2 linked regions of the Tamandua tetradactyla genome follow. Each later gene encodes a partner of the first gene's protein in a complex. Links are inferred from orthologs where the notes say so. Each region holds a gene or a part of one and is shown in the gene's direction. Other genes may lie near its edges. The genes, in order: ACTL6B and DPF3.

Region 1 (16,666 bases):
TGACATTTCCCCTCACTAACTTCAGCTTTCTACGCCAGCGCCCGGGATGCCCCTCCCCCCAAGGGAAAAGAAATGAGGGGCTAGGACCCCACCCCCCACTCCCCATCCAGGGCCGGACACAACCCCCTCCTCCCGCAGCCAGCGGCCCAGAGCGGGCGACAGCGCCAGCGGCCCGGGACAGAGGGAAGCAGGCCCGGAGGAAGCCGCTGGGGGCGGGGGCAACGCGCCCAGCCCTCGGTCCCCATCGCCATCCAGGCTCGCCGTCCATTCCCCCCGGATTCGGGGGATACAGGAACCGAGGCCCCAAGGAGAAACGGGGTGCCGCCGCCTCCGCAGGTCTGGCGGGGCGGCGGGGAGGGGGCAGGCGAGGGTCCCGGGATGTGGCAGCTGGAAGGTGCGGGCCGGGGCCGCGCTGCGAAGCGCAGTGGGCCCGGCCCTCCGGCCCGCACGACCTCCATTTTGCCTAAAAGAAAGCGGGGCGGGGGCGCCGGGGAGCCGGGTTCGGGGCTGGGACGTGGAGCGGGCACGGGGTGCCGCGGTCTCGGAGGGCTTGGGGCTGTGGGGCCAGGAACCGCGGGCAGAGCCCCAATCCGGGACAGGGTGGCGACTAAGGGACGGGTGGCCTCGCCGCCGGGCTGGCCCCTCCGAGGACTCCGGGCTTTTGCAAGGCGACCGGCGGCGGGGCTGCGAGACGGGAGGACACAGGGGTGCCGGCCAGGAACAGGCGGGAGGGTGGCGGCGCTGAGGCAAGGGGGCGGGACGGGGCCTAGAGGAAGCCCCAAATTTAGCCCCCCAACTTCTGAGGGAGCAAGAAGCAGCAAGTGGGGCTGGGATAGGGTCTTGGGGTCCGGCAAAAAGCCGAAGCTGGTGCAGGGAGCGAGTGCATTATCGGGGGGCCAGGGTCCCCCTAGATCCCCTTCCGGGTTTGGGAGCGACGGGGCCAGAGGAAGGGAGGAGAGGTCCGCGGAGTTACGTCCGCTCCCGAGAGGCCAGACAGTGGGGAGGGAAGGAAGAGAAGGACCCTCGAGGGAATTTGGGGCTGGGGGGTACGGACACTCCTTTTGTCAGCGGAGGTACCTGTGGCGGTGGACTCTGCGGAGGGGTAGCTAGAGGAGCGCGAAGGTCCTGTCTTCCTCCGCGGCGGAGGCGGCAGCGGCGGCGGCGGCGGCGGCGGCGGCGGCGACGCGGATGGATTTTCTCAGTCACCCCAGCTCGGCCGCCGGGCGCTGCTCTCCCCAGAGCGGAGGGATCCCGCCCGCCGGTGACGCGGCCGTCGCCGCCGCGCCCAGGGTCCGGCTGGGCGAGACCAACTCTTGATTGCGGGGAGGTCTGGAGAGAAAATACCGCCTCGGTGCGAGGGTTGACTCAGCCACAACAAAGATATCACTGCACACTATTTCAACGCAAAACGGACCAAAATAAATGGTTTGCTTCCCGAAAAAGATGAGGACATTACCCCCTCGGGACTAGCAGAGGTGGTACCGGCAAAGGGGAGGGTGGACCCGCTCGGTAGTCACGTGACAGATCCCCCGCCCCTCCCGGATTGGGCGGCTCCAGGCTGGGAAGGGGAGCTCGACGCCCCAGTTCTCGGTTTGGCCCCGCCCCCGCACTGGTGCGGCCCCGCCCCTCATCAGGGGGGCGGAGTCAGAGGCCTCCGGCCGGGGACAGGGCAGGGCAGGGCAGGGCCCGCCACCAGGCGGCTGACGGTAAGAGCTGCGATTCCCCAAGTCCCTGAGCTGCAGCACAGGGGGACGTCTGAGACTCGAACCGACGGGGCAGTTCCCCAAGCGCTGGGCAGGGGGGTTTTGGAAAGCCCGTTACAGGGCCGCACGACCCTGACATTACAACTCCTCTATTGAGTTCCTTACTTAAGTAAGGACAATCCGGTGAGGTTAAGTATTAGCATTATCCCCATTTTATAGTAATGAAAACAGAGACCGAGGGCTGCTGCGTTGGGATGTGACTCTGCCGTGCAATTATAGCAACAGCAGCCACTTGCTGCCACTCCCCCGTGGACCGTCCTTGTGCTGGGATGAGAATGAAAGGATAGACCTCAGGTTCTGCTCCTGTAAAAGGACGGTGTGCATGGCTACCCGCTCACAAGTCTCTTGGACTGCTACAAAATCCCCGTGAAAATGTTTTGGAAAGTTCAACAAATGACCTTTGCGTCCCGGTGCAATATAGAAAGTAAAACTATCTAAACCAACGCTATTGGTTTAGCCTCTGTTAAGGATCTCACCTATCATTTCTCAAAGCACAATTTGTTTACATAAAAAAGTCACATTCCTTATTAGGCATAAATTCCGTTTACATGCACCTACCAATTCAATGACACAATTAGCAGTCCGTGATAGATGTCAATAGGCTATGAGATTTGGAAGCGATCTCGGAGATAATGTATTTCAATTTCTTCAGTTTACAAATGGGCAAAATGACTTCCCTAAAGTCGCTCAGAAAACTAGCCGCCTAGGACTAGAAATCAATGTTGCTAATCTCTAGGGCATCTGACACTGCTTCCCCTCATGTTGGCTTCTGTGCCAACATGCTTCCCTGTTTTTACTCATTCAGCAAATAGTTATCGAGCGCCAGCTAGGTATCAGGGTGGGGTGTGTGGTAGGCCCAGAGGGTCCAACCGTGTACAGCATATGCACCATCTGCTGCCTTCAGGGAGCTTACAATCCAGAAAGGAGACAGATGGTAGATAATCCTTGAAGTAACAATTAGTGCTAGTTGCCTGGAAGTGCCATTTGCTGAGAATAGGGCCCTTGAGAGGGGGCACATTTAGGCAGGAAGATCAAGAGTTTTAGGTTGGGACATGTTAGGTTTGAGGTGCCTGTGAGACACGCAAGATGTGTTCACTTGGCGGATTTAAGCAGGTCTGGGACTCCGCAGGGAAGTCTGGGTTGGAATAGCGCCTTGGGAGTGAGTGGCATATTAGAGCAGGTGAAGTCATAAAGAGGTTCAGGAAAGAGACAAGATGGCCTACGACCAAGCCCTGAGAAACTCCCACATTTAGAGGTCAGGCAGCAGAGAACGAGCTGCCAAAGGAGAAGCCAGAGAGCTAAGAAGAAAATCAAGAGAATGTGAAGTTCTGGACACCAGAAGAAAAACATGTTCCAAAAAGGCAATGGTAAACTCTTGGGTGCTGCAGAGGGATGAAGCAAGACTGGACTGAAAAGTGTGTGGGGGAGATTGAATGACATAGAGACCACTGGTGGGTGCCTTTGTCCAGAGCATTTTTAGTGGCTGGTAGGGTGAGGCTGGCATTGCTCTCAGTGGGCTGAGGGTAAGTGAGAAAAAGAGGCAAGGGAGACAGCCAAAGTGCCCAAGCCATTGGACATCTTGGCTTAGAGGGGGTGTAGGAAAATGGCACAATGGGAAAAGAATGCCAAGTCAAGGTATTTGTTTTTAATGGGAGCTCCTAGAGCTTGTTTGGATGCCAATGGGAAGGAGAAGGAGAGATATGCGGGGTACATAGAAGTAAGCCAGTAGATGAACTGGCTCTGATGGGTCATGGGACACTTGCTTCTTCTTACTGTTCTTGTTCATTCTCCTTGACGTTCTCGTCCTCAGGGCCCCCTGTAAACATTGGTGTTGCCCATGACCTCAACTTCATCCTCTTTCTCTTCTCACTGTCTGTGTAATTCATTGGTGATTTCATCCACTAGTGTGACTTTACCCCCTGATTGCTCAAAACTCTCAGACATCCATCTCTAGCCCAAATGTCCCTGCCGGAGTGCAGTCTTGGTGTGTGTCCAATGCAGAGCGGATATCTCCAGCCGAATGTTCGTGAATAGTGGTGCGCTGGAGTCAGCTTGTGCCGGCTCATACACTGTACGCTGCTCTTCCCAACTCCTTGTTCAGTAAGGTCATGTTGATAGTAAGAAACTTGAAAGCAGCCCTGGGGGGAGTATTTTCAGAATGGAGATCGGCAAATCCCTTAGATCTTTCCTCTCGCCCACTGCCCCAGAGTTGGTTGTTAAAATATTTACTACATACCAGTATTCACAGACATTCCACACCCAACATAGTCAAAACTAATTATCTTCCACACCGCCCCACCCTGCCCCACCCTACTCCTTCCTGAATCTCTTGGCCCAATTAAGAGTACCACCACCCACCCAGGAGCTTCCTACTCCCTCATTTCCCATGTACAAAGGATGATCAACTAATTAGATATGGTCTAAGCTTCTGAAACAAAGAGGCCCCCAAAGTACAATGGCCTAAGCCACAAGCCCAAAGTGGCCATTCCACTGTGGGGGCATCTCTGCCATCCTCAGCAAGTAGCTCCCATCTCTGGATCCAAGGTAACCCAGGCAGCTCCCACTGCCATACCTGAATTGCATTCACTGGGAAGGGGGAGGACGGAGAGTACAAGTCCCTTCCTGTTTAAAGGCATCACAAATTTCTGCTCAGAAGTTATCCAGATGTTTAAATCCAACCCTTCTGCTGCTTGCCAATTGCTGTTTTCTTAGTTTTTGCCTATCTCCTGGCCTCCAGGACAGTCTGTCCCTAATCGATCTTCCAAATAGCTGCCAGAGATATCTTTCTAAAATGCAAATTGGAACATATAACTCTCCTATTTAAAATCAAGCAGTGGTTCCCCATCAATTCCACAAAGAGGGCCAAACTTCTTTGCATGACACACAGGCCAGGTCTTGTCCCCTCTACTCAGAATGTCTTCCACCCCCCGCTGCCTTGTCAGCTCGGACAATTCAGGTCATTTTCTCAGGCTCAATCTAAATATTGCCTCTCCTTGAAGCATTCCAGGACCATGCTGTTGTCTGTGCCCCGCTGCAATGCTGGCTCCATTCCTGTTGCAGCCTTTACTGGACTCTGTTTATTTTTGGGCATTTGCCACCTGCACTGGGCCAGCGGCTCTCAGTGAAGCCAAGGCACACTTTTGATCTGACACAGTTCTGGATGAGAGCTCAGCAAACCATGAACAGACCCCCGGAAGATGCCAAAACATTTACAGGATATGGGGTCTGAGAGGCCTGCTCCTACCGCCTTGGACCTTCTTACCAGGTGTTCAGGTTTGTCCACCCAGAATGGGAGCTTGAAATATGAGAACCATCAGATCTGTTTATGAAATTAATCATTTAGGCATCTACCTTCCTGGACAGACATTAAACTCAATGGAAGTTGTATTATGCTTTATTCCCAGTGCCTACCAGACACCTAGGGAACATTTATTGAATGAATGAAAGCATAACACCTGCCCAGGATTAACATTTTTCATATGCCTTGGTTTAGATTTTAACTCTGTCACTTACCAATTGAGTGACCTTGGGCCAGTCATTTAACCTCCATGCCTGTGCTGGTTTGAAAGGATGTATGTCCCCTAGAAAAGTCATGTTTTAATCAAAATCCCATTTTGTAAAGGCAGAATAATCTCTATTCAATACTGTTCAAAGTATGTTTGAAGCTGTAATCAGATCATCTCCCTGGAAGATGTGATTTAATCAAGAGTGGTTGTTAAGCTGGATTAGGTGACGACATGTCTCCACCCATCTGAGTGGGTCTTGATTAGTTTCTGGAGACCTATAAAAGAAGAAACACTTTGGAGAATGAAAGAGATTCGGAGAGAGCAGAGAATGCTGCAGCACCATGAAGCAGAGTCCACCAGCCAGCAACCTTTGGAGATGAAGAAGGAAAACGCCTCCCGAGGAGCTTCATGAAACAGGAAGCCTGGAGAGAAAGCTAGCAGATGACGCCTTGTTCACCGTGTGCCCTTCCAGCCAAGAGAGAAACCCTGACTGTGTTCACCATGAACCTTCTCACTTAAGAGAGAGAGAGACCCTGAACTTCACTGGCCTTATTGAACCAAGGTATCTTTCCCTGGATGCCTTAGATTGGGCATTTCTATAGACTTGCTTTAACTGGGACATTTTCTCAGCCTTAGAACAGTAAACTAGCAACTGATTAAATTCCCCTTTTTAAAAGCCATTCCATTTCTGGTATATTGCATTCCGGCAGCTAGCAGACTAGAATAATGCCTCTGTTTCCCCATCTGCAAACTGGGGATAAATTAAATGACTTAATATTGGTAAGGCATTTATAGCAGTACCTGGCATAAAGTAGATGCTTTGTGTCTGCTAAATAAAAATAGTTTCAGAAAAGAAGAAGAAAATAGAAAAAGCAAAAAAAAAAATTTTTTTTAAATACTTACAGGCATGAAAGAGCTGGTCTCTGATGACTTGTCTAGTCTCATCCCCCAGTGGCACTGGCCTCTGCCAACAGCTCATGTCTAATCCTCCTTCTAGATCGAACTCCTAACTATTCCCACATGTACCAAAATGTTTTATGATTCAGTTCAAACTTCTAGAAACCTTCCTGGGCTCTCAAAGACAGGTAGCTCTTCCATCTTCTGAGTCTTCAATGCACCCTACTTCCATTTAGATCTAAGTTCCAGCTCAAAAATTCCTTGACAGCAGAAATACCTTAGACACCTTGGTAATCCCATGCCTAGCATAGTGCCTGGCACACAGTAAGCATTTAAAAAAAAGTCCCTTGAGTCAGTGAGTGGACAAATGAAATATATTAACTCCCTTCACTGTAACCATGCCCATAATACAATGGACTCATGTCAGATCCCATGACCAGTGAAAGTTGAACACAGTTGCTTAGGAAGGAATCCAAGTCCAGTCCTGTAGATAGCAGATTGTAGCTTTTCCACCAGGCTTGAGAGGAAACTTCCCTCCTCATTACCAGATAAACTACAGAATTTGGACTTGTTTTTAATAATATTAAAGCCTCAAAAACTTCCCAAGTATGTTCTGAAGGACCAATGACTACTGAGTAGTCCTGGGGCCCGGTTCTTAGCCAGGCACCTGATTCTGGTCTCAGGTTAAGTCCTCACCACCAGCCATTCTATAGATAAGGACAGTGAAGCTTGGAGAGGAAGACGGAGCTGTTAATGAAACAAGGCCCTCTCTCAATGGCTGACAAGAGAGCTGGGCTCTTTCAGGAAGAAATTGATCCATTCAACAATTCAAACAAAACCCCAAGATCCCATGTCTGGGGCCTCTCTCTCTCTCAGCCAACATGGCAAGCAAACTTACCACCCTCCCTCTCTCTACATGGGACATGACTCCCTGGGTTGTGGACCTCCCTGGCAACGTGGGACAGAAATCCCAGAATGAGCTGAGACTCAGCATCAAGGGATGGAGAAAACCTTCTCCACCAAAAGAGGGAAGAGAGAAATGAGACAAAATGAAGTGTCAGTAGCTGAGAAATTTCAAACAGAGTCGAGAGGCTATCCTGGAGGTTATTCTTATGCCTTTATAGATATCCCCTTCTTAGTTTAAGGTGTATTAAAGAGGCTAGAGGGAAGTGCCTGAAATTGTAGAGCTGAGTTCCAGTAGCCATGTTTCTTGAAGATGAATGTATAGTGATATGGCTTTTGCAATGTGACTGTGTGATTGTGAAAACCTTGTGTCCGATGCTCCTTTTATCTACAATATTGACAGATGAGTAAAAAATATGGATTAAAAATAAATAAATAATGGGGGAACAAATGTCAAAAATAAATTGAGTAAATTGAAATACTAGTGAACAATGAAAGGGGCTGATAAGGGGTATAGAAAAAAATAGGGGGAACAAAGGTTAAAATCTATTGAGTAGATGGAGATACTAGTGGTCGGTGAGAGGAAGGGGTAAAGGGTATGGTATGTGTGAGTGTTTTCTTTTTTCTTTTTATTTCTTTTTCTGGAGTGATGCAAATGTTCTAAAAAATGATTGTGGTGATGAATATGCAACTATGTGATGATATTGTGAGCCATTGATTGTACACCATACATGGAATGTTTGTATGCTGTTTTGGTTTGATAATACAAAATAAATTTTTAAAAAATTAAAATATGTAATACTGAAAAAAAAACCTTAAAAAAAAAAAAGATCCCATGTAATGGGGAGCCAACCCATATTCAACCCTATAACCTTCCCAGTGACTCCCTAGGCATCTGCTCACTAAGGTTTCTCCAACGGGGGCAGGTTTTGACAGTGAGGTGGCTGCCCCCAAGGAGTAGTGGGAATTGACCAGGTGAATTTACCCAGGAAGTGACGATTACATCATTAAATATCATAAAACCAGATTGTGAATGGAATAATTTTTCCCTGCAGTGTTCCTTTAATCCTCACCTCGACACTTTGAAAGATGAAAAAATACAGACTCCGAGAGGTTAAGGCACTCATCCAACTCACCTAGGTCTCAATTCATAGAGAGGCCAATGACTGATCTATGGTCACTTGGGATAGTCTCAATGCCCCAGCTTCGGGGTCTACTCTCTCCCCTACAGCTCATCCTCCCACTGCGCCCAGATCCGCCAGACTGGGGAGCCAGTCCTGGACCCAGGACCAACCCCAGGTGCCTCAGATGCCACTGTGGTCAGTGGGAAATCAATGAGACAGCTCAACCATCTGCCCTTTGGCTAGGGAAGGGTGAAACTTCTTCCAGGATAGGCATCTGGTGTGCAGAGACCCTTCAGGGACGCTGTGGCTGTACTCACACAGTACCCTCTTCCTCTGCCATTTCTGGTCTTAAAGACACCCCCCCCCCCACCCCCACCCCTGCCACCAGCCTCCAAACAAGCAGGTAAGAGTGTCCCCGATACATGCTTACATACACATGCACATATGTACACATGAAAAGAGAGATATGCATGCGCGTGCACAAGCACACATAAACAAGTATATACGGGTGCACGCCTACACATGCATGCTTACACAAGAGGCTCTTGGCTAACCTAGGCTGCAAGAGCCGCTCCTTCACCGTCCCTTTCAAAACCGCTGTGGAGGTGTCCAGCCAGGAGCGGATACAAAACCTGCTTCATAAATGCCTCCTGAGCAATAAAAGGGGCTGAAGAGAGGCGGGTAGGGAAAGGAAGCTGAGCGCCTCTGTGTGAGCGTGTGTACACACGTGTGTATCTGAGGTCCAGGCACTAGGGGGCGCGGGAGGAAAAGAGGGGCCATCAAAATGACCAGGGTGGAAAGAAAGATGAGAAGATGGAGACACACCCCCTCCGGGTCCTCTCTTTGCCTCTCGCCTCTCCTCCCTCTCCGGGTGATTGCTCTCGACCCTGGCTTTGCTGAACCACGTTCTAGAGCCTGAGGATGGACGACTCTGCGGGACTACGGCGCCCTCTTCCCGGACCCCATTTAAATAGAAAGGGAGCAGGGACCCCATCAGACATGCGTCGGAGTCCTGCTCTCCGGACGGAGGGGAGCCCATTTCCTTCTACTCCTCCTCTCGGTCTGCCCATCCCGCACGGCCGTTCTCTCCGTCCCGGTCATCTCCTCGCCCTCTCGTCCCCGCCCACTCTGGGGCTTCTGCCCCTTTAAAGCAGCGGCCCCCGGGCCGGGTTATTGTCTCGCCTCGCAGCCAATCGGCAGCGCCGTTGGGGGCGGGGGATCCGGCCTCCCGATTGGCCGCCGCGCGCCCCGCCCCGCCCGGGATCCCGGGAGCTGTCCGGCCGCCTCGGTGCTGATCCCGCCGCCGCCCACGGGCCGCCGGCAGCGCTGAGAGGGCACTATGAGCGGGGGCGTCTACGGCGGAGGTGAGCGAGCCGCAGGCTTCGGGCCGGAGCCGGAGCCCTGGGACCCCGAACCCGTGCGACCCAAGCTCCGGGCACCCCGAGGCCTGTCAACTCGGCGCCCCAGCCGGCAACAGCCCGGGGCTTGGGTCCCGCGCCACCCCTACCTTCTGTCCTCCCCGGGAAGCCCCGCGTGCACCGGGTCCAACCCCTCCGGCCATTCAACCCACCGCCGCCGGGACCCCGGCCCCCCTCCTTCTTTGCTGAGCAAGGCCACTCGGCAGGACGGACTCTGTCCGGCTTGACCCCCACTGCCAGGACCCCAGACTCCAGGCCAAGCCCCCACCTGTCCCAGGCGGCGAGACTAGAGACTGTGGCTCTGCCCTGCCCTCCCCTTGGAGCTGTCCAGGGGGAGAGAGTTTGAGGGAGGACCCCTGACACATGTGTCTCCCCGCACAGATGAGGTGGGGGCGCTGGTCTTTGACATTGGCTCCTTCTCAGTCCGCGCTGGGTACGCTGGGGAGGACTGCCCCAAGGTGAGCCTTCCAGCCCCTTCCCCAAATCCCCGGGGCTCCGGACTCCCCTTCCAGACTTTCCGGTAACTTGGGGTGCTCACAGCCCAGCCTCTGCTGACCCGGAGTGTGGGAGTCAACCCCGGGGCGAGCTGCACGCGGGCAGGAGGGTGATCCCTCTCCCTGCCCACCCTCCCCCCTTCAGGCTGACTTCCCCACCACGGTGGGGCTGCTGGCCGCGGAGGAGGGGGGCGGGCTGGAGCTGGAGGGGGAGAAAGAGAAGAAAGGAAAGATCTTCCACATCGACACCAACGCCCTGCACGTGCCCCGGGATGGAGCCGAGGTCATGTCACCTCTCAAGAACGGCATGAGTAAGGGGCCCCCAGCCACCACCTCCTGATACAGGCGGGAGACCTCTCCCCACAACCTGGGACATAGCACCTCACACCCACGGAGTCCTCCTTACAACTGCCCAGCCCTGGGGAGCCCCTTGCTGCTTCCCACAGCTGCCTGCTTCCCAACCCAGGGGCCCACCAGATTCTTGGGAGAGGGGTTTTCTGCTAGACCTGCCTCAATTCCCCTTTCTCTGAACTTAGCCTCTTTCCTTTCTACTTCTTTCCTGTCCCGGGACCCCTGCCTGCCCAACCACATATTTCCACGTTGGTCTTCTGGGCCCAGTTGAGGACTGGGAGTGCTTCCGTGCCATCCTGGATCACACCTACAGCAAACATGTCAAGTCTGAACCAAACCTGCACCCAGTGCTCATGTCCGAGGCCCCGGTAAGTGCCTCGGCCCAGCCCCTAGTCCAGCCCTGGGGCCCAGGCACTTCGTTTCCACCGTGCACCTCTCACCTCTTGCCCCTACCATTGGTCATACCACATCCTCCCTTGTCAGATTTTCCTTCCAACTTCAGAGCTCTTCAACCACTTCCCTTCCTTCCTGGCTTAGAATCCACCCCTCACTCTCTCTTCCTGCTCTATCCACCTGCCCTTCCCCCAATCCATGTTAAACATGCCCTTTTATACCCCTTCCCCTCAAAATTCCTTTTTTTAGACCTTTTAACTTAAAGTTTTTTGACATTTTATATACACATAAAGAATCAATTTGCTTTATAGAGTATAAGAAAAGAAGGGCAGTTCCTACCCCCTTCTTCCAACTCCTCGTTTCCAAAGACAACTGCTTCTCATCTCTTTCAGCCAATTTTTTGTGTTTTTTTTGGGGGGGGGAGTGTTTCCTTCCAGATCTCTAAATATCATGCTTAAATTGCTGCTTGTGGACTTCCCACTAGATAAAATGAACATTTAGCTCAATTTCCACCTCACACTGCACACATTTCTTGTTCCCCACCCCTAAGTATAGTTGCATTTTAATTTGTTTTCTTCAAAGATCAGTCCTCAGTGTTTACTCCCTTGTTGCTGTGTATTCTGATCAAGGCTGAGCCAGGCAACAAACTATGATTACATTTCCTTTCCTATACAACCTTTTGTTCTCCCTAAAACAGACATTTGCTTGCTTTTTTATTTGCTTAGTTTTCTATCTACCTATCAGTAATGTGACCTTCAATTATCTACCAGTTACCTACATCTTCTCTCAAAACATTAATTCCATTAGGTATTCTACCAATTTCATCTTGAAGAAATCACTCCAGGAGCCCACTGATATTCTCCACTCTGGACTACCTGCCCTCTATACCTGGCATCTTCCTTCACCATCATCTTAGGGAATCCTTTTGCTTCTCTCCTGTGTTAGCATTTCTGTTTCTGTATCTCATGAATCCTTTTGATTTACCCCCTCATGTTCAGTTGCTCAAGTCCCAGAGGCCCCCCACTTCACTGATTCCCACACCTGCCTAGCTCCCAACCCAGGGCCCCAGGAACTTCAGTAACTTCCATAGAAAGGTCATGGGAAGTAAATTTTTTTTTGAGATCTTGCATATCTGACCTTGGATTGATAGCTTGGCTAGGTATAAAACTTCAGATTGGAAATTATTTTTCATCAGAATCTTGAAGGCACTTCTTCATTGCCACCTAGCTTTTATTGTTGTTATGAGAAGACTGAAGCCATTTGATTTCTGATGTCTTGTTTTCATTTCTGAAAGTTGGTAGAATCTTTACTTTGTCCTCAGTGTTCTGTAATTTCACAATGGTGTGTCTTGATATTGGTCTATTTTCGTCCATTGCTCTAGGCACTCAGTATGTCCTTCAATCTTGAAACCCATGTCTTTCAGTGCAGTGAGAATATTTTCAATTATTTATTTAATGATTTCTCTCAATTTCCTTCATTCTCTCTTTTGGGAAGTTCTGTTATTTGGATTCTACACCACCCGAATTGGTTCTCTAGTTTTCTTATCTTTTCTTTCTCTTTTCCATTTCTATCTTTTTGCTCTAATTTCTAGGGAATCCCCCCTCGATTTCAATTTTTCCTCTGAGTTTTTCATTTCTGCTCTTGTAGTTTTAGTTTCCAAGGACTCTTTTTTATTCCCTGAATGTTGCTTTTGATTCTTGTTTTTCATAGGTGCACCATCATCTGTTATCTTCCTACAGATATTATTGCTAGTTGGTTTGTATTTTTGGTGGGGTGGGGAAGCCGTTTTTGTCTCACTGTATAATCTCTGTTTCTTCCTTTGTTTCTGTACCCATCTCCCTTTTTTGGTGTCTGTCTCACTTTAGAGGCATATTCAGATTTCTGGAAATCCTTGTTATTTGCTTGTATTTAGGAGTGGGAGACAGAATGGCTGATTAGAAGCTGTGTAGCTGGGAGGTAGGGAGTGTTGACTGTGATTTTTGCTACAAGGCGAACTGACAGGGACATTTTTTGGGCAGCTTCTGATATCAGCATCTTTACGTCTTTGTAATGAAGAAGACTTCCAGACTGAAGAGAGCCCTGGCCACCCACTTTCTAGGAGCCAAGTGAGGGAAAAGGGCTGGGTTCTCAGCATTCAGTGTGCATGGCGTCACTTAATCTTCTTCTTTAAAGTATAGTGCCCCTACTTCCAACTGTGTCAAGTGTTCCCACAGCTCAGAGACCCTTTGCTTTATTCTCTCCATAGAATAAATCTCAGGTTTCTGCTGGGATCCAGGTAGGGCAAAAACCCAGGGATATGAACTTGTAGAGAGTTTAGGGACCTATTACTTGAATAACTTCAGACAATCTTATATTAGCTTTCCCCTCACTTACACTTCCAGACAAATCTGAAACTACCAATTTATGTGCCCTTTGAGGATTCTTCAGTTTAAAACAGAACAGTACCTGGCTTTTCTCCCTACCAGCTTAGGAGTCAGCTTTCTTGAGTCCAAGTCCATTACCACTCACATGTCTGCTCTCCTACTTTCTAAAGTGTGTTGCTATTTTCTGCTTTCTTGTTATTCCCAACCTTGAGAGTTTACGTCTTTTTTATGTCTAATATCAAATGAGCCATTGTAAAGTGACTAGTTAAAGTGGCATTTAATACATTCACAATGTTTTAGAGCCATTACCTCTATCAGCTGTGAAACATTTTCATCACCTTCGACAGAAAACCCCATACTCATTAAAAAGTCACTGCCCCTCCCCCCCCACCCCACCAAGCTTCTGGTAACTACCAATCTGTATTTTGTCTCTGTTGGATTTACCTATTCCAGATATTTCATAGCATTGGAAACACACAATATGTGGCATTTTGTGTCTAGCTTCTTTCATTTAGCAGAATATTTTCAAAGTTCTTTCACATTGTAGTATGTATTAGTACTTCATTCTCTTTTATGGCTGCATAATATCCTGTTATATGGATATGCCACCTTTTGCTTATCCATTAATCCACTGATGGACATTTGGGTCGTTGCTACCGTTTAGTTCTTGTGAATAATGTTGCTGTGAACATTTGTGAACAAGTATCTGTTTTCAGTTTTGGGGGTATATATCTAAGAGAGAAGTTGCAGGTCTTATGATAAATCTATGTTTACTTTTCAAGAAGCCACCAGACTGTTTTCTACAGTGGCTAACCCATGTTACATTCTCACCAGCAACTTACACCAGCTCCCATTTCTCCACATCCTCACCAACACTTGTTTGTTCATTTGTTTAATTGCCATTCTTAAGGGTTTGAAGTGGCATCTTGTTGTGGTTTTGATTTGCATTTCCCCGATGGCTAATGATGTGGATCACCTTTTCAGGTGCTTGGCCATTTGTGGGATTGTCTTTTAAAATTGGTCCTTTACTATAATTTTGCTGGGATCTTGGGAGGAAAAAAAAAATAGATGCTTTTATTCAATCCACCATATTTTACCCAGAAATCCTCTTCCCTTCCTTCTTGCCTCTGAGGTAATTAGAATGGGGAACAGGACTGAGGAGTGAAAGGAACCTAAAGTATGTATTGTATAATAAAAAACAACTGGGACAGGAGCCAAGAGCCCATGACTCAAGATTCATTTCTGCTGAGAGCTTTCTGTGCAATCTTGGGAAAATTACCTCCCTTCTCTGAGCCTTGTTTTCCTTAGTCAGGTTTGGACTGAGACCTTTAACTCACATTCTAAAGACCTGTGTGGGGTCAAATTGTGTGTGTGTATGTGTGTGTGTGTGTGTGTGTGCTGGGTCTGTACCTCTCTGAATCCTTCCCTCCTGCACTTTCTCCCCAGTGGAACACACGGGCCAAGCGGGAGAAGCTGACAGAGCTGATGTTCGAACAGTATAACATTCCTGCCTTCTTCTTATGCAAGACGGCTGTGCTCACCGCGTATCCTCTGGGTTGAGCTGCTCTGCCTGGGTGGAGGAGGGCCAGGGCAAGGGCACATGGTCCTCTGAGCTGGGGCTGGGTCTCATCTTGTGAAGGTCAGTGACCTGGGTGGGCAGGCCCCTCCCCTAACCTCAGCAGTGCAGAAAGCTCCTGGGCTAAGTGCCTTGGATCTTGGGGTGACCAGATCAGAGCCCCTTTCTCATTTGTCGGACCAGTTTGAGCCAGGAGATGGTTCTAGGAAGAGAGAGCGTTGGGCCAAGCAAGAAGCACGGTCTGAGGCTGGCGAGAGGGAGGGAGGGAGAGGTGTATGAAACTAAAGAGGTCCCTTCCCAAACTGTCCATTGGCCAACATTGAATTTTTAATGATGCGCTTTGCAGTGAACCATGTACTCAGCACGGGAGTGACTGGGAGCTCGTAGGACTTAGGCCTCAAAATAAAGAGAAGCTAGTTGCTTAGGGGACAGGAAGAGAGGAGAGGCTGTCACTCAGACAGGGAGGAAGTGACTGGGGTCTCAGGAGATGGGTCATCAATGTGAGATCTGAAGTCTGGGCTTGGAGCCTGGACTCCAGGGAAGCAGGGGGGGAGCAGGCCAGCCCTGCGTCCCAGCCCCGTCACTAGCTGCCGCTGTCTCTTTGACCTATGTGACCAATGCCAGCTTCGCAAATGGACGCTCTACGGGCCTCGTGCTGGACAGTGGGGCCACCCACACCACAGCCATCCCAGTGCATGATGGCTACGTGCTGCAGCAAGGTGGCGTCTCAGCAGGGGGCAGGGGCGGGGCTTGGTAGGGTCAGTCCCTGACACCGGCTCCCCTTCCAGGCATAGTCAAGTCTCCCCTGGCCGGGGACTTCATCTCCATGCAGTGCCGGGAGCTCTTCCAGGAAATGGCTATTGACATCATCCCGCCTTACATGATCGCAGCCAAGGTGTGGCCTCGGGGGATCCCAGGGCTGCAACCCCAAGGTGCTGGGTGACCTGTGACCGTCCACTGGCCCATCAGGTGGTGGCGCACACGGCAGCAGGGCCCCCTGGTCTCGCAGTCAGGAAACCAGAGATTCGGAGAGGCTGGGGGACTTGGCAAAGTCAGGCAGCCAGCTGGTAGTGTGATGTGTCAGGGCCTGTGGGAGGGAGTCCAGGGCCTCAGGGGTCACCTCTGCCGTTTAAGAGCTGCGTGACCTAAAGCTTGACATTCAGGGTCCCGGGGCCACAGTGTCCTCTCTCCTGTAAAGTGGAAATGACAGCAGACAGTGCTGTTGTGAGTGTCAATGGGATACTGCACCCAAAGGGTCTGCCCTGGACCCCCACAGGGGACCCTGCTCAGCATGTGGTAGCTCCTTCAGCTTCTGGGCTCCCTCTGCACTGCCTGGGCCCTCAGCCTTCCCTAATTGGGGCCTTTCAGAGCAGCGGTGTCCCTGGCACCTGTGGCACACAAGGGACGAGATCTCCACATTCTCTCTTCTCTCTGCAAGGAAAGGGGGAGAGAGCTTTTCTGTCCAACAGAGCCTAGACCCCAGTGCCACTTGGCTGCAGAGCCAGCCGAGGGCTAGGAAAGAGGCATGTGGTCTGAGCGGGCTATTGGCAAGTGCGGGCTGGGGCGAGGGCTCATCGGCTGTGCCCCCGCAGGAGCCTGTACGGGAGGGTGCCCCCCCGAACTGGAAGAAGAAGGAGAAGCTACCCCAGGTTTCCAAGTCCTGGCATAACTACATGTGTAATGTGAGGCTCTGGAGAGGGCCATCTCCCCAGTCCCCCTACCCCTCCCCAGCTCCTAGTCCCCTGCCATAAATGCGGGGTGGGGGTTGAGGGGCTCGGGAGGGAAGCCAGGCCCTCACCTCCTCCCCGGGTTCTCAGGAGGTGATCCAGGATTTCCAGGCCTCTGTGCTGCAGGTCTCTGACTCTCCCTATGATGAAC
Region 2 (16,089 bases), on another chromosome or scaffold:
TGTACAGCCCTACTTACTTAGACTTTCATACTCTATAGTATTGTCATCAAAACTTTTAATCGCGTCCTTCATCATGTTCCTGTTTTACCACATGAAAGTTTATTCAAATTTCATAATTCATGATAAAAAAAATTAGCCAAAGCACTATAACAATGAAAATGGGACTTAATGCTGATTAAGTGACACCTCCACCCCCTATATATCATAATTAAAAAGAATCCGAAGTTCAAAGTAAAACAAATTCTAGGTTCAGCCCTGGTAGCAGGAGACCTACCCAGAGGGGCTAATATACAAGATAAAAATATTTAAATTGGCCTTTATAGAAAGACTTCCTAGAAGCCTAAAGACCTTCACAGTCACTGTTAATGAGCTGACTTGTTTGGTTGTAGCTCTAGCTTCAGTATTTCAAGCTCTTCAGGGCAAGGGATTTCTTGCTGTGTTACTTGATGTGGAGAAAGAGGCTACTGCAAATATCGAATCACAAAGTTCAAAATTGAATCCTTTCTGAATGGTCTACAACTTTCTACATGTCTATTGCAGTTCTGAAGGGGAAGGTAACCTTAGAAATGTCCGGCTAGAAAGTGGCCTTTGTCATTTATTATGAGTAGAGATTTGTTTTAGTAGGGTGGGATTTTCTCCCTAGATTTAGTTATTTCTGCTTTTATTTATTCTTTCAGTGACCAATTATTAACCGTCTGCTAGGCCTTGCCAGACTCTGGAGATATAAAGGTATATCTTAGGTATCTGATGGATTAAGGAAATATAAAATGGAGCTAACCAAAATATAGGTATTTTGATGGAGCTATGGATACAACTGTGAAAGCTGAAAGTTGCAAGTGACCAGCTTGAGATCCATTTAAATTGTACTAGGTTTAAGTTCAAGGTTCTAATTGGGGAAGATTAAAATATTTAAAATCAGCTTCATAAAAAAGGATGGCTTTCAGAGTTGCTGTAAGTAAGCCCACCTGGATCTAGAAAATAGCGCTGATTTTCAGAATTGTAACGAGTTCCAATTATTACTATGTGGCAACTCCATTAATTTTTGTCACTTGTATAGGAATAAAGTAAGTTGTGTCATCCTTTGATTGGTGAGAACAGAGAACAACTGGTGACTTTGGGGCTCCAGGTACCAAAATAAACTTAATTTCCGGCCTAGTGCTTTAACAGTCCCATTTCATTGGATTTTTGTTTTTCCTCTTTAACACAACCTATTGCTTCCACTTTGTCTCTTTTCCCAGCAGTCCCACCCCACCGACATCCTCTGCTCCATCCCTCTGTCTGTTATATTCTTTGGGTTTCTAGACTCTCCAGGCCTGTACCTCTCCTCCAGAATTCAATCTTGCAATGGAGCTGTCCTTAGCCCAGCTTCCCCCATTGGCTTAGACGCATTTAAAATACACTGGTTCCTCTGTGGAGTTTAGAACATTTTCTCACCTCCTTCTTTTTTCCCTCTTATGTAGAATAAACATGGAGTTGAGGTCCTTTTGCAGCTATGCAGGCCAGAGGTCATTGCCTGAAGCTGTCAGGGAACAGAAAACACCTGCTATAACTCAGCAGGCCTCTGCCGCCTCTTCGCCAGAGTGTAGGACATTTTAGGTCCTATGGCTTCTGTCCACGTCTCCTGCTGTGGGCACCTATTTTTATGTGGTGGCATAAATATCTGCAGAACCACCAGACTGAATACATGCTCCTATGCTTGGCTTTTAGACTCCTCCTGGAGGATTCCTGCCTAATGCCAGAGTAGGAGCCTGAGGTCGTGTAAATGATGTGAGTGAGAGAAACAGGTGCCTTGGAATGCAACCATGCTTAAAGCAATATTCCACAGAAAGCCCTCTTTGGGAGCCCTTGGGGTAGCCACTTTTGGAGATGATAAGAAGTTTCTTTACCTAGGAAATCACCCAGAGGGATGAATACTTATTTCTGCACATGTGTGTACAGACTCAAGGGAATTTTCTTCTTCTATGTCTTGGTCCAAACATGGTTCCAGTCAATCCCCACGGTGGCAATGGCAGAAGGTTTTGTTTGTTTCCCCTGCTCTCCCTTCTGTCCCCCTATGCAGGGGACCTTGCCAGCTGCTTTGATCAAGGTTGCAAGAGGACTTTGGATTCTGTGTTGGTGTGGATGGACTGAGGGAGGGCTTTGGAAAGTGCAGTCTTGGCAGGTGGAGGAGGTCGGGCCGGGGTGGAGCCCAAGTTATCTTAAAACAAACAAACAAAAAACCCCATCACCACCAGATAGAACCCTTCAACCTGTGGTTCTATCAGGAGAAAGAATTGGGGCCTGCTTGTGGTCATCCAGTATTAGCAAGGGAAGAAAGGGCCTGGGGCCAGTCTTCAGGGTTGACTGTGATTACTCTGTGTGATTTGAGTGGAGAAAGCTCCTGTTTAAAAATATCCCACACGCTGCCTTTCTTGGTGCCTGAGATTCTAAGCAAGCCACGGTATGTGTGCGGCTGTGTGTGTGTATGCACTGTGTGTGCTGTGTGTCTTGTGATCCCTTCCTTGCAAAGGTTTTGGAGTGTCCTAGAATCTCCTCTTAAGATGCAACTACCTGGAGGGAAATTCCTTTAAGCTGATTCAGGTCAGTCAGGAGTAGAAAAAGGGTGGGGATTAGTAGGTAGGAGGGGATTTGGAAGAGGCTTTCCCTTGAAGGTGGAGTCCATAGAGAAGGTGGAGTCCACAGCCAGAGGTGATGGACCCAGCCTAGGTGACTGATCCCCCAGGGGAACAGATTTATATCAGCTTTAGGGGGAAGGAAGATGTGGGCTGGGGGATTAAGGTCTTAAAACAAGCCCATCCTGCACAACAGAAAGGCCCAGCGCTTTACAGGCCTCTGACCATCAGGCACTGGTCTTGGTTTTAACTTCAAGTTTCTCCAGTCAAGTAAAACTGACTCATATCCACAACCAGGGGCCAGAGACCTGGCATCATCCAGGGCCCTTTGGTCTCCCTTAAATCCACAGCAAGTCCTGGTGGTGCTTCCTCTTTAGAATTCACTGCATCTGCCTTTGATCTTCACCTCTGGTGCTCAGCCTTGACACCCACAACCTCCTAGTGGGGTCCTCTAGCCTCCCTCCACTCCACTGTCACATCACTGCCAAAATGAGCTTTCTAAAAAGGATCATCTCTTCATTTTCACTGCTAGCTTAAAATCTGTCACTGTTGCCTTATTGCCTTCCAGATAAAACACCACATTTTAAAGTATTCTCACCCCGTCCTTGCCTCTCCAGCTTTTTCTGTCTCACCAGTCCCCCTCTACCAAGGAGATCCCCTGAAGTTGTGCTGCCCTTTCTCACACCCCCAAAATCTTTATATATTCTACCACCTCTGCAGGGACATCTTTTCCTCCTATGAACCATTCAGGATTGAGCTCAGAAGTCGCTTCTTCTGAAAAGATAACCTGGTCAGTTTAGGTGCCCCTGGTCCACACCACAGTGCCCTGTGCTCCTCCACCCATGGCTTTGGGATGCAACTGCCTGCTCCCTCCTCCCTGACTTTTTGAATAAGAGCTTTTATAACCTTTATAGGTTGGTCTATCTTAGGTCTCTCTGTACCCCCAAGGTCCAGGAGTGAGGGTGGCATGGTGGCACAGAGTAGAGATTCTCCAAATATTTTCTATATGAATTAGCTGTTGGCGGAGATGGGTGGGAGGTCTAAAGGCCCTTAAGCCCTTGACTCATTTTTAAAATCTACCCAACTTTGGCCCAAATTAAACATGACCTTCTCCATAAAGCCTTACTGAGGACCTTTGACTCGTATACCCTAGTATATTCCCTAATATATCCTTTATACTAGTTTATGAAAATCTCAATGTCTTGAAACCTTGGGAACCCAAAGGAATGAACCTTTGATGGTGTCCATAGTAGTCATTTAATAAACACCCAAGGACGCATCCATTGGGATCCCATGATCCCTGCCAGGAAAAGGGGACTGGCTGAGCAGGCTGCTCTTCCCTTTTAAGTCACATTAAGTAATTGCTCTGCTGGCTCATGGGGCGGGCCTGCCATCGTTATTCTCCCTCCAGATGCAGGATGAGATCTTTTTGAGGGTTGTTTTCATGTCTGGTTTGTTTTTATTTTGCCACCTGTGCCTAGCACAATGTCTCCCTCATAGAAATTCCTCAATGGATGAGTGACTGAATGAGCTAAGTTAGTGGGAAGCAGCAAGCATTGATTCCTTTTTATGACTCTACTCAGAAATATGTGATTTTCGAGGCCTGGCCCTAGGAGCATCACCCAAATCCAGAGCTTGATATGCTTTTTCTTTTCTACGCTTTGAGAAATTGTAAAGGGAGTAAGAATCCTTCCCTACCATTTTCCCTAAGAAAAGAGAAAGCCAGGTTATGTTTTTCTTTTTTTAACTTAAAGAAAGTTATTGTGGTTATATATGCATATATGATATATAAATTGCCATTTTAACCATTTTAAGTGTATAATTCAATGGCATTAATTGTATTTACATTGTGCTACCATCACCATCATCCATTACCAAAATTTTTCATCACTCCAAATAGGAACTCTTTACCTATTAGGCAATAATTCCCCATTCCCCTCTCACCCAAGCCCCTGATAACCTCTGATCCACTTTCTGTATCTATGAATTTGCTATTCTGTATAAATGAAGCCATATAAGTTATCCTTTTGTGTCTGGCTTTTTTCACTTGGCATAATGTGTTCAAGGTTCATCCATATTATAGCATGTATCAGCGCTTCTTTCCTTTTTATGGCTGAATAATATTCATATATATATTCTGCTGCAGTTTATCCATGCATCGGATGGTGAACACTTGGGTTGTTTCCACCTTTCTGCTATTGTAAATAATGCTGTCATGAATATTGGTTTACACGTATCCATGTGATTCCCTGCTTTCAATTATTTTGAGTATACTTAGGAGAGGTATTGCAGGTCATGTGGTATGGTTAGCTTTTTTATAGGCTGCAGTTTTTATGCCCTCTATTCTTCAAAAGAATTCCTCTTCAGCTCAGTGCCTAGAATGTACCAAAGCTGGTTCTGGATCTCAGGGAACCAGCCCAGGTCAACCAGCTGCCCTGGGCATGGCTGGTTAGTCTGCAGATAAATGGAGGGATTGCTCTTGTTCTAATGCCCGCAAGACCCGAGACTCCTTCAAGCCCCAGAGCCCACCAGGGACTGCATTTATTTTGGACGGCTTCTGTGGTATGCTTCCTCTTTTAAATGAACTCTGGCTGTTCTTGAAGTTTGCATCTCCTTTCTTTACTTCCCTCTCGTATATGGATGTGCCTTTAAAAAGTCAGCTGGAAAGTTTGGCACCTGCTACAAAAGTGCCATTCTTCCCTACTTCTAGACGGACATCTCCTCATTGCTGAGACAAACTTCAGACTTTTTAGGAGTGAACAGGTATGGGTGCCCCTTGTGGTTTGGGTGCATGGGTCCTTGTTGTACCCCAAATGTTCCTTTGGATGGGTGGCATTGAACATGTACCTGAGCTGGACCAGAGAGTCTGCTAATTGATAAGGTTAGATTTGAAAAGATTATGCAGAATGAATGCATATGACTGAGATAGGCCCCACGCTTACTTCCCTGGTAACACACAGCCTTGAGCAGCACTGTCCATAGAAATACAATGGGAGCCACACGTGCAATTTTAAATTTTCTAGTAGTCACATTAAAAGAAGTAAAAAGAAATAGGGAATATTAGCTTCAATAATGTATTTATTTACCTAATATATCCAAAATATCATTTCCACATGTAATCAGTATAAAAAATGATTTATGAGATATGTGACATTCCTTTTTATCATACAAAGCCTTATGAAATCCAGTGTGTATTTTATACTTATGACATCTCAATTTGTACTTGCCACATTTCAAGTGCTCAATAGCCACAGGTAGTCTCTGGCTACCATATTGGACAGTGCAGCTCTAGACTCTCAGGTGGGATGGGGAAGAGGTTATTTTGGACCCACTCTGCCTAGCAAATTAGGCTGCCTAGGCAGCTATATAAAGATGGAAGAAATGGGGCTGGGTGGAGTATATTCAAGTATATGAATATCTATAGAGCTTTAGAAATGTGATTTTAAAAGTGTCTTGAAAGTCTACTGAGCAAGAGGACATGGTTTAAGTAGTGAAATGACCCCTGATCGAAAAATTCCTGTTTATTATTTTTTCCTCAAAGTTATTCAGTTGCCATTTTTCTCAGAGCAATAAGTTAAATAAAGTTTAACTATGTACCTTATACCATCAGGAAAGAATTAAGTATCTGTAAAAATAATGGTCACCATTTTTCGAGATCTTGCTATGTGCCAGACACTTGACATATATTATTCAATCCTGGCAAGAGCCGTATGAAAATTCTATTATTATTATTGCCACTTTTCGGATGAGGACACTGACACCATAGAGTAGCTAAGTAAACTGGCCCAAGATAATGCAGCTGGAAAGTGAAGGACTCAGGAAAACAGATTTCAGAGCCCACACTCCGTTAACATATACAACACTGCCTCACAAAACTAAACATTCTCTGAAATTCTACTAGGCTCCTATCACCTTTAGGCATGTCCATTCTAAGCCCTCTTGCTTTTAAGCATTCTGGTGAAAAACATGTGTCTTTTTGGTGGGTTGGTATATTTAAGACATATTTGGAGCATTTGGCTTCATGCCATACCATTGCAAATTGGCAGAATGGGACCTGCTTTACTGTAGAAACATTGTGATCTATGATAAAGAAGATAAAGTTGAAAATAATAATAACTTATATAGCTGAGAACTGACAAAAGGCAAATTCACAATTCTGTTTATTTAGAAGTTGTACCTGCAGTGTCTGAATTAAAATGCTTTCTACTGGGTTACAAAAAAAACCCAAGATTAACCTACTTAAAAAAACATAGTTTTATTTCATTATTTTTTCGATTTTCACATTATAAAATGTAACTTAGATGTTTCAATTCCAGATGAAAACTCTCTCAAAATGAAGGCAAAGAAAAAGTTTGAAAAATCATGGGCTGCCACTTTCATATGTGCCAGATATTAGGAATTATGCCAAGGCCTTAACACAGTAAACTATATGTATATGCTTTGAGTATATATTTTTTCTTTTAGATGTAATACTTTGTTTTTCTTCTCTTCTCCCATTAAATTGTAAGCATTGTTCAGGGCAGGTGCAATACTATATTTCTTACTTCTTTTATAAAGCTGCATATATTAAAATATGTTGTCCTTCAATTCGAACTCGTGGGAATTATGACTAATACTTCAACCTCATCTGAGAAGCCTGAACTTCTTCATCTGAACATAATAGTTGCTTCTCAGTGATATCAGGGTCCATCTCAGGCAAAGATAAGCTTTGGAACTAAGCCCTTAATATGTTTGAATTAATGAGGAAGGGTGTTTTCAAACTTCAATTATTGAAAAGGGGACAACGTTTTTCAAACTGCCATCTCTGGCAAGGTGCTGTCAAAAAAGTCACAAAGGCAATCCATAGAACCTGGCTCTGCTATTAACTAATCAGAAAGAGAGGAGTTAAAAATTTCAAGTCTATTACAAACATACTGATTCAGCCATGTTCTGTTTATCTGTAACTCTAGTGGTGTAGGGAGTTGAACTCTGAAGTTTTGGAACTTTTTTTTTCTTTTAAAAAAAATTCATTGCCTTGAGAGGAGCGCTGAGAAAGGAAGTGAGAGGGCAAAGCTTTGAGAGGGCAATCTGGCATCTCCATTCTCCCCTTCTCACCCCTCCCCCACTATCTTAGCTATTTGACCTGATTAAACAGCCAGACTTCTCTATGCTAACGAGGGCCCTGCCTGCCCTATTCTCGACAGTACGATTTCATCCACCCGGAGCTTCCCGGCTGCCCAGTGGAAGCCTGATTTCGCAGAAGTCTCCCAGTTTTGTCAGGGGTTCGCCAGTGAGGGAATTCACACTAACTTGAAGCAGAAGGTCTCTCGGAACGCCTCGGGTCACACCGGATTATTCATTAGCAAATTCTTTTCAGCTTCTACCTAAATAGTGAAAGATGACGCCAGAATCGCGTGTGCCACTCCCCGAAAGGGACTCTAGCAACACCCATTCTAGGCTCCATAACTCCTGTCTTCAAGTTATTCGCTTTCCTAGTAACAGAAGGCGCTTCCACTGGTTTCCCTAAACCTCCCTTATCCCTAAGCCTAAAGGTCAGAGAGCTTAGCTCTCCAGTTGGCGGGATCCGCGATCATTTCCGAAGTTTCGGGAGTGTGGGGTGAACAGAAGGGGTGGTATTGGGGAATCGCTCAGTGTGACCACCCTGCATTACGTAACGAAAGCCCGGGCTGCTGTAGAGAGCGAACTTGACATTGAGACATTCAGGGGGAGGGGAGTTGCTGTCCTGCAGTCGTCAGGAACAGCGGCGGCAGTGCGGCGGCAGTTACAGGGGAGAGGAAGGTGGCCGAGATAAAGAAAACACTTCGGGAGTAAGAATATTAAAAAGTCGTAGGACCCAGAGCATTAGCAAACGGCTACGTTTAGTACATTGTTTGACGAAACAGCAAGCTTTCAACTTTTGCACGGGAACAAGAGGACTTGCTCTTTGGGAGAGTAAAAACACTATTAGCAAAGCCGAAAGATAATGAATGGGGTTCAGTGGTTTGCTGGCGATACTTAAATATTTCTGTTCAAGATCGCAAATTTTGCAGCTATTTAGAAAAGTAGGGTCTCAGACCAAACTAGAATACTCGTCCCGTGCGTCTCCAATTTCCCCAAACCGAAAAGGAGCTGCTCGCGCGGTACTGCCCCTTTAAGACCTGCTCGCTCTTGGGCTCTACAAAAGGGAGTGACCTCTGGGCTTTGACAGCTCCCCTAATAACTACCATCGCGCAGGCCCTGCCCACCTGGCGACCAGCCGCGCCGATTGGCCGGCGGGCCGGTATCCCGTGTTCTGATTGGCTCGCCGCTTCCCCTGAGCGAACCTTTAGAACTCTGAGACAGACAATATTCTGTTACATTGTAGCAAAATGGCGACTGTCATTCACAACCCCCTGAAAGCGTAAGTAAGGCTAAAAAATGTACATATTCCGCGTGGTTTCAATATGAAAAAAAGGCGCCTTCTCCGTGCTGAGCGCTGCCAAAGCACTGCGCTTGCAGGCGCCTCCAGTCACCGCGGGGCTTCTCTCTTTTCTTTCAGCTCCTACTTCATCTTTTTCTTTTCCCCCAACGCACAGAAATGTCAGGAGATGCAATTAACAAGAAGAAAATTGTTACATTTGGGTTCTGCTTAATTGGTGGACGGAGAGAGAGAAGGGTTATCGGCAGGGTAGCCTGGCGCCCGAGCGCTCCACAGCTAGGGGGATTGCGGGCAGCTTGGGGACAGCGCGGTCTCCGGAGCCCCTGGGCTCGCCGGGTGGCGAGCGCCGCTCGGGGAGCGGTCGAGCTGGGGGCTAGTGCCGGGCAGGGGCCGCCTGGGTATATTCGGCTGAGTCCCGCGCCTCAGAGCCCGCAGTCTCCGCCGGGTGGCTTGGTCCGCGCGGCAAGCGGATCGCGGTGGCTCAGGAGTTTGCAGGGCGCTCTTCGCCTTCCGATCGCTCGCGGGGAGTTTGGGCAAACCTTCCGGAGTTGGAAGGACCGCGGGGGGGGAGCAGCGGGTCCCGGGAGCCCTCGGGCCCAGGTGGCTGCCCCGGGCTTTCCTGCCGGGGCAGCCCTCGGAGCATGACGGCGCTCCGGGCGGTAGCCGGTGTGCATGTATGCGTGTGTGTTTGCGGGCGAACTGGCCGTAGTAAATTAATGACTCGGGTTAACTTGGGGTTGATTTGGAGGCAGCGAAGCTGCAGGTCTTATGAATGGTGTTCTTGCTTCCCCTGGGTGAAATGCCGAGGCGTGCGGAGAGGCGGCTTGGGGCCCCCGGCCTGAGCGGCAGTGTCTGCTCCCGGCCAGAGCAAGGGGCAGGTGCCTCTGGCCGCCGCCGGGAGACTTTGAGCGGACGCCCAGATCCGGGACGAAGCGGGGGGCGGCGGGGTGGGGGTGGGGGGGCGGGCTGAGCAAGGACATGCGGGGGCCAGTCCCCGGGTTCGACAGCCAATTCCTGCCTGCCTGCCTTCCTCCTTCTTTTCATCCTGGCTTCCTTCCTTCCTTTCAGTCGGTGGAACTGTTAAGCCGCCAAGTCCGCTTGCTATCGCGGAGCCGGGGGTGGGCTCAGAAAACTAGCATCGCTCTAAGGGGGATGATGTTGGCTGTGCTGTTGGCAGAGGGGGGGGGGGGAGGCTCCCTCCGGATTCGCGGCGCGACGTGGGCTCGGGATCGGTGCCCATTCCACCAGGACTTCCCTGCTGGGATGGAAGCCTCGGGCTAGGGGAGGGGATGTCCGGGCGGAGGGGAGTTTCGTGTCCCTTGTGCGTTGCCTAAACAGATCCTGGTTCTTTCACCCGCGCGCGTCCGCGTCCGCCTCCCGGGCTCCTCCGGGAGTTTAAAACCAGGTTCGCACCCGGAGGCAGTAGACAGCTCTCGAACGCGAAGGAACGCGCTGGGAGAATCGGCCGTATTTGCACTGGTTAACTTCTCACCAGCAATAAGGGAAAAGGATAGGAATGTCCCAGTTTTCGGAGTTTTAAACATATATATAATTAAAGGTCGGGTTGGGGAGGCGGGGGAGGGGCATTGGAAGCTAAGGCTGATCCGAGAGGAGTCCCCGGCTTTCAGCTCTCCGTGGGAAGCTCGGATACACAACACTTGAACGCCACGGCGTTTCACCCAAGAAAGAAAATGTTTTATGGCAGAATAAATGGGCGTAACTTCTCCGCATCCTCGTTTGCAGTCGCTCGCGCTGCTGCACAGCCGATGCTGTGAGTTTCTATCGAATCCAGAGCCGATTTGCAGTTTCCCCATTTTCAGCCGAAATCGCGTATCTGGGCTGATGCCATCTGATAAACTCAAGTTAGAGAAATCTATTTCGCATGTGCGCCGGGTTTGTTTTCTATAGGGAAAGCTGTACCCTCGTTTTCCAGGAGCCAGTTTATGCGCTGGTGCAACGTCTTCCGGCTCCAGGGTTCCCTTGCTCGCTCCAGTATTTTTTTTTTTAACCATAGGAGGATGCATGTTTGGTTTGGGTAGGGTGTCTGTGTAGGGGTGGAGTTAAGGGTAGGGGAAGAGACAGAGAGGCGGGAAAAGGAGGCTAAATCCCGACTGCTTAGTGGAATTTGTTCTGAATTATGCTTGCACTTTATATAATTAGAAACAGTTGCAGTGTCATGTACTTGTAATTCTGCTTCCCCCCCCCCCCCCCCACTGACTTACACACAACACCTTGCCTGCTTTTTCCAGGTGAAAGTTGAGTGGTCATTTATAGTTAACCGCCCCTTTTTGCATCCCAACCCCTTTCCCTGGGGGTGAGGGGGTGTAAACAATACCCCCGCGCCCTCGACTATTTTTAAACTACTCACGCTGGAGCACGCACGGTGTTATGGGGAGACCGACACCATCTGCCTTTATTTTTTAAAACGACTTGTTTAATAACACATTTTATATATTTCATTTGTCTTTTAAAAGTTGCCGATCAGGAAACAATACACACATGAATAAATTATGCATGGGATAAATTAGAACAAAGCGCGGAGACACATCCAGGGAAGGGGACGGATGGCGGTGCTGGGAGGAGGGGGAAGCCGGGAGAACGGTTTGGAGAGCTCTGTTTTTATCCTCCTGTGTCCCTCCTGACAATGAAACGGAGCTGAACGACATTAGCATTTTCTCTGTGTGCATTCTGAGTCTTTTCTCCCTTTTCTTAAAAGAAAAAAAGCCACCACCATCGATGCCCCCTATAGAAACTGGTCACACAAAGGTTTCGGGTACTGGGGAATAGCGAGGTAGGAGGTAACTGTGCTGCGAAGAAGCAGGCTCAGGTCTCGTGCAACCCCTCTGTAGGGCTCTGCTTACCCTAAGCATGGGCCATTTTTCACTACATTAGCTTTATCCATGTGGGACATTCAATAATTCAATAGCCTGGGTAACTGGATGGCACAATTTCAGTCTCATTGCTTTGGGGTCTTCCTTAGGGTCCCAGTTCCTGACACCACATCTTCCTTAGCAGCCTGGCTTTTCTTCCTGCTGGTCTTTGATCTCCCCTCTACTTCCTTTCTTATTGCCCCTTGGTGTACCCTCCTCACCCCCTTCCTCTCAGAAGCTGACAGCCTGGCTTCTCTCTCTGTTGTTGCTTTAACTCTTATTACTGCCCAACAGGGTGTTAGAGGCAGAAACAGGAGCCGGTTGGACTGATCAGATCACAAAGGGGTTGGCTGCGGCAGGTGGCTCCACAACCAAGCAGCCACATCTGGACAAATAGAATTTAAAAGCATTTATATGGGCATGTATGATGTGTAAATGTATGTTACACATTATTTAATTTAGCAGCTACATTGTCTGAGCCTAGATGTGTGAGAATCACCCTCATTTCTTACGTATGCAGGCAAGATGAAGGCCAGGTAGTAAAGTGAATATATGTAGGCATCATAAGCAGGGATTTGATAAAGGGCTGTGTGGATTGTATTCTGGCTGGGGTCTGCGCACCTAGGAACCTTCATGCTTTTAATCTAAATTCTAATCTTAATTCCTATCTAGTTCAGGTAAATCACCCCCCCCCCCAATCTGCTATTAGCACTTTAAACAACTTACTCTTTTATTAAGTTATCAAAAGCCTGGTTTATATGTACTTAACTGGGAATGTCTGCCACCTTCTGCCAGACTTGATTATGCACATATGTACCCATTAGTATAACTGTCTGCATAGAAAAGAATAACTCATTATTATTTCATAATTCTATAAAACAGCAGGGCTTTACCTCAAGTAACTATAAAGAATGAGGCCAGTAAACTATTTTGTCCTGTTTATAACCATGAACATACATATACATAATTGTATTGAAACTTTCCTAAGTGTGTCCCCTCGCTTGGAGGTATGTGTTCTGTTATTTAGCACACAACTCTGATACTTACTTAGCCAAAGTCAAACAGGGTTGGTCCTTGTGTAGAGATGGACCTCAAATCTTCACCTCTTTACACTTTCTCTGTTCTCATGTAAAGTGGTTCTGTGCATTGAAAGTTGCTTGTCACCACTTAGAAGCCAAACGTCACTCTTGCTGTAGCACTTAGTTTAGATATCAGAGAGGAAGGGGTAGGGGGCACATTCCGAGTTCTAATCTCTACTTAGCTCTTTCTGTTGGGGTGGAGGCAGAGGCATGTGGGAGGTACTAAGTGGGGGGAATATTGAGATTGGAACTTTGTGAACTTGCAACCTTTTATGGACATTACTTTTGGCTCCTTATGAAAAAGGACCCTTAGACATTTTAAGCCAACAGATGCTTCAGAACCACCTTCTCCATCTGTTTCTGGTTGCCACTGGAAAAAAGCCCTAAATTCTCCAAACTTCATTAGTACACATTATTTTTCAGTGGGAAGAATGTCTGGTTTTGATGAGATACCCATAAAGGATATTAATTCCTGCCAGACCCCAAGTTGAGGCATTGTCATGGGGCAAACCTTCAAAAAAAGCCCAGCCTGCAGACCACCTGGGAGACATCCAGAGCTTTCCAGCCAAATGGGAGCTGCTCAGGCCCATGAGGTGGGCTGGAATTCAGAGGCAACTTAATTGGAAATTTCTCATTTTCTCATCATTTTGGAATCACACAGGTAGCTGGAATTTGCATACATGTGAGAAAGACTATAATGTCTAAAGTTATAGACATCTGCTTAGATCCACGCAAAAAAAAAAAAAAAAAAAAAAAAAAGCCATGGTCAGCATCCTTTGTTTTGAGCATGCCCTAGAAAAAGAGTGGAAACTGAGGCTGTTTTGGTTTTTAAAGGCTGCCATGCTGATTGTAGTGGTGATGGGGTTGGGTCATAAAAAGGTACCAGGACCCAGGCCTGTTTATTATCTCAACCCTTGCAAAGTAACTTTTGTGGTTTTTGAGTATTTTGAAAGTCACTAGAAAACAGAAATGTAGCCAAACGTGGTAAGCTTCTGGCCAAGAAAAAAAAAATCCCACAACCACTGAAATATTTTTTGCCCAGCTGTGGTTTTCTAGCAGGGACCTAAATAAGCATGACTCTAGCTTTAAATAGTCTTTAAATATGTAGATATTTAACTAGGAAAGATAAAGAGTGGCCTGGGGGTGGGTGTGGGGAGGGGGTGGTAGGAGGTAGATGGATAAAACCATTGTGTGGCCTGGAATTTGGAAAAGATTATTGTTTAAAAACGGGAGATATTGATATTATGATCCATTGCAAGTTTCAAAGTTTTCTTTGGTGGTGTGAGTGACGGGAGAGATGAGGTGTGGTGGTGTTTTTGTAATTTGTTTTTCTTATTGGTCCGGTTACTAGTGTTTCACAGTCTGTCAAACCATATGGATGAATGGAGCTAGCATCGTAAAACTGTCACTGAAGGAAGGGTTTTGAAGCCTGTGATTTGCATTAGAGTTTTAAAAGCAGTGGTTAAGAGGTGTTGGAGGGAGTGTGGGAAAATAGGAACAGACTTGGTTGAGAATTTCTAGATCGTCTGTTTGTGAGGAGTAGTTGGGGGTAGGTGGCCAAAGAAGAGAGAGAAGCCTTGAGGGGGGCAGGCTTTAGGGGCTATGTTTGGAAGTAGGGAGGGGCCAGGGGATTAGGCTCAGAGCCCCTAATAATGGGGTTCAAATAGCTCTCATTGAGCCCTCCGCCACCCAGCTTTCTGGGTTCTGAGCCCGGGGAACAATGATGACACATGTCTAATCCCCTTTTTGCACCTTCTCCTCCCTCCCTGAACCTAGGGACTGTGGTCATCTCAGGTTGCTGTGAAATGAGTGGGGTTTTTTGTTTTTATTCACCTTGAAAATCTGCTGTTCGTATTAACTGCGATTGGAAGCTCTACAGCAAAGGTCTTTCCCATTCCCAAACTTTAAACTACCATCACTGGGATCGTATCCCAAATTCTGTCCCCTTTCTAGGCTCATTTCTCACCAGTGGCTTTGGGGACTTTTTGAAACTTTGGTGACTTCAGAATAAGGGAGGAGAAGAAGATCTGGAATAGGAGCTTTGAGTTCTGGTCCCAGACGTCATCAAGTAGCTCTGTGATCTTGGACACGTAACGCCCCTGAGCAACATTGACTTTAAGAGGAGAATGACACACCTTGATTGCCAAAATCCCTTTCGAGTAAAAAACTTACAGTTCTTACTGTGGTAGATCAAAACAGAGGGACAGTTAGGGGCCGGAGTTGGGATTCTTCTTTGTTTTCCAAGTGTGACTCTACAGGGGATGCTTAAGACAGGGGTGCTTTTCTGAAGTTCCATCTCCTCTGCTCTATTCTTGCTTCCTGATGCTCCCAGTTGAGGTTCTAACCTGGGTGGAACTGCCTAGTCCTTCTCAGGGGCCTCAGGCTGGTGGGTCACTTAGAATTTGGGCTTTTCTCTGTGTTTTTCTTCTCATTAGTATCCCGTCCAGAGGATGAATGCGAGAGGCAAGAGGAGTGGAAGACATGTTGGACGATTTGGCTGCTTACAGGCAGTCAGAGAAAGTTTTCGTTTTGAAAAGACTGGAATGACTGAGAACATCTGTCTTTTTCTTCTTTTAAGTGTGGAGGAAAAAGGGGAACTAAACAAAAGGATTTTTTTTCCCCCTGGATTTCATTTGTCCATAATTTCCCTGGACCACCCTCCCCCTCCACCATGGTCCCCAATCCCAATGAACTTGGAAATAAAGAGTGTTTATTTCACTTCCATTTGGGCAGCTGCAGATACCTGGCTATCCAGGGAGCTGCAGTAGGTGGACCTGTACTGATTGCTCTTTGAGCTTCCTCAGGTATTCCCTGTGCTACTGGTGAGGAGGTGGAGGGGCCCAGCAAACCTTCAGGGGCCACCCCCCAACCAGGGGATAGTAGCAGTGTCTAGACTGGAATTCATGGCCCCCCCCCTTTCAGTAATACTCCTAGAGCATCCTGGATTCCTCCAGGACGTTATTATCAGGCTTTCCTGATAAGCTTCCTTGGCAATTTTTTCCTAGCCTAAAGGAGGAGGGGTGTGTGTGTATTGCAAAACCCATCAGAGAATGCACCGAAACTGCTGTGCACATTCTGAGCCTTAAGCAAAATGAAGAGAAAAAAACAAAATGGTTACCCTTTACTTCCAG

The links.
Region 2: ACTL6B (region 1) and DPF3 share a complex: the UniProt entries of both Homo sapiens proteins name them as parts of the BAF complex. The link is inferred for Tamandua tetradactyla from reciprocal best matches to the Homo sapiens genes ACTL6B and DPF3.

What each region holds. Positions count from the first base shown.
Region 1 is NC_135349.1:8,739,103-8,755,768, reverse strand, and holds the start of ACTL6B (actin-like protein 6B), read left to right. Parts: upstream 1-9,532; coding exon 9,533-9,557; intron 9,558-9,992; coding exon 9,993-10,069; intron 10,070-10,250; coding exon 10,251-10,416; intron 10,417-10,723; coding exon 10,724-10,824; intron 10,825-14,658; coding exon 14,659-14,756; intron 14,757-15,412; coding exon 15,413-15,507; intron 15,508-15,576; coding exon 15,577-15,683; intron 15,684-16,380; coding exon 16,381-16,470; intron 16,471-16,605; coding exon 16,606-16,666. UniProt on the Homo sapiens protein: Involved in transcriptional activation and repression of select genes by chromatin remodeling (alteration of DNA-nucleosome topology).
Region 2 is NC_135338.1:31,485,531-31,501,619, reverse strand, and holds the start of DPF3 (zinc finger protein DPF3), read left to right. Parts: upstream 1-8,928; 5' UTR 8,929-8,959; coding exon 8,960-8,991; intron 8,992-16,089. UniProt on the Homo sapiens protein: Belongs to the neuron-specific chromatin remodeling complex (nBAF complex).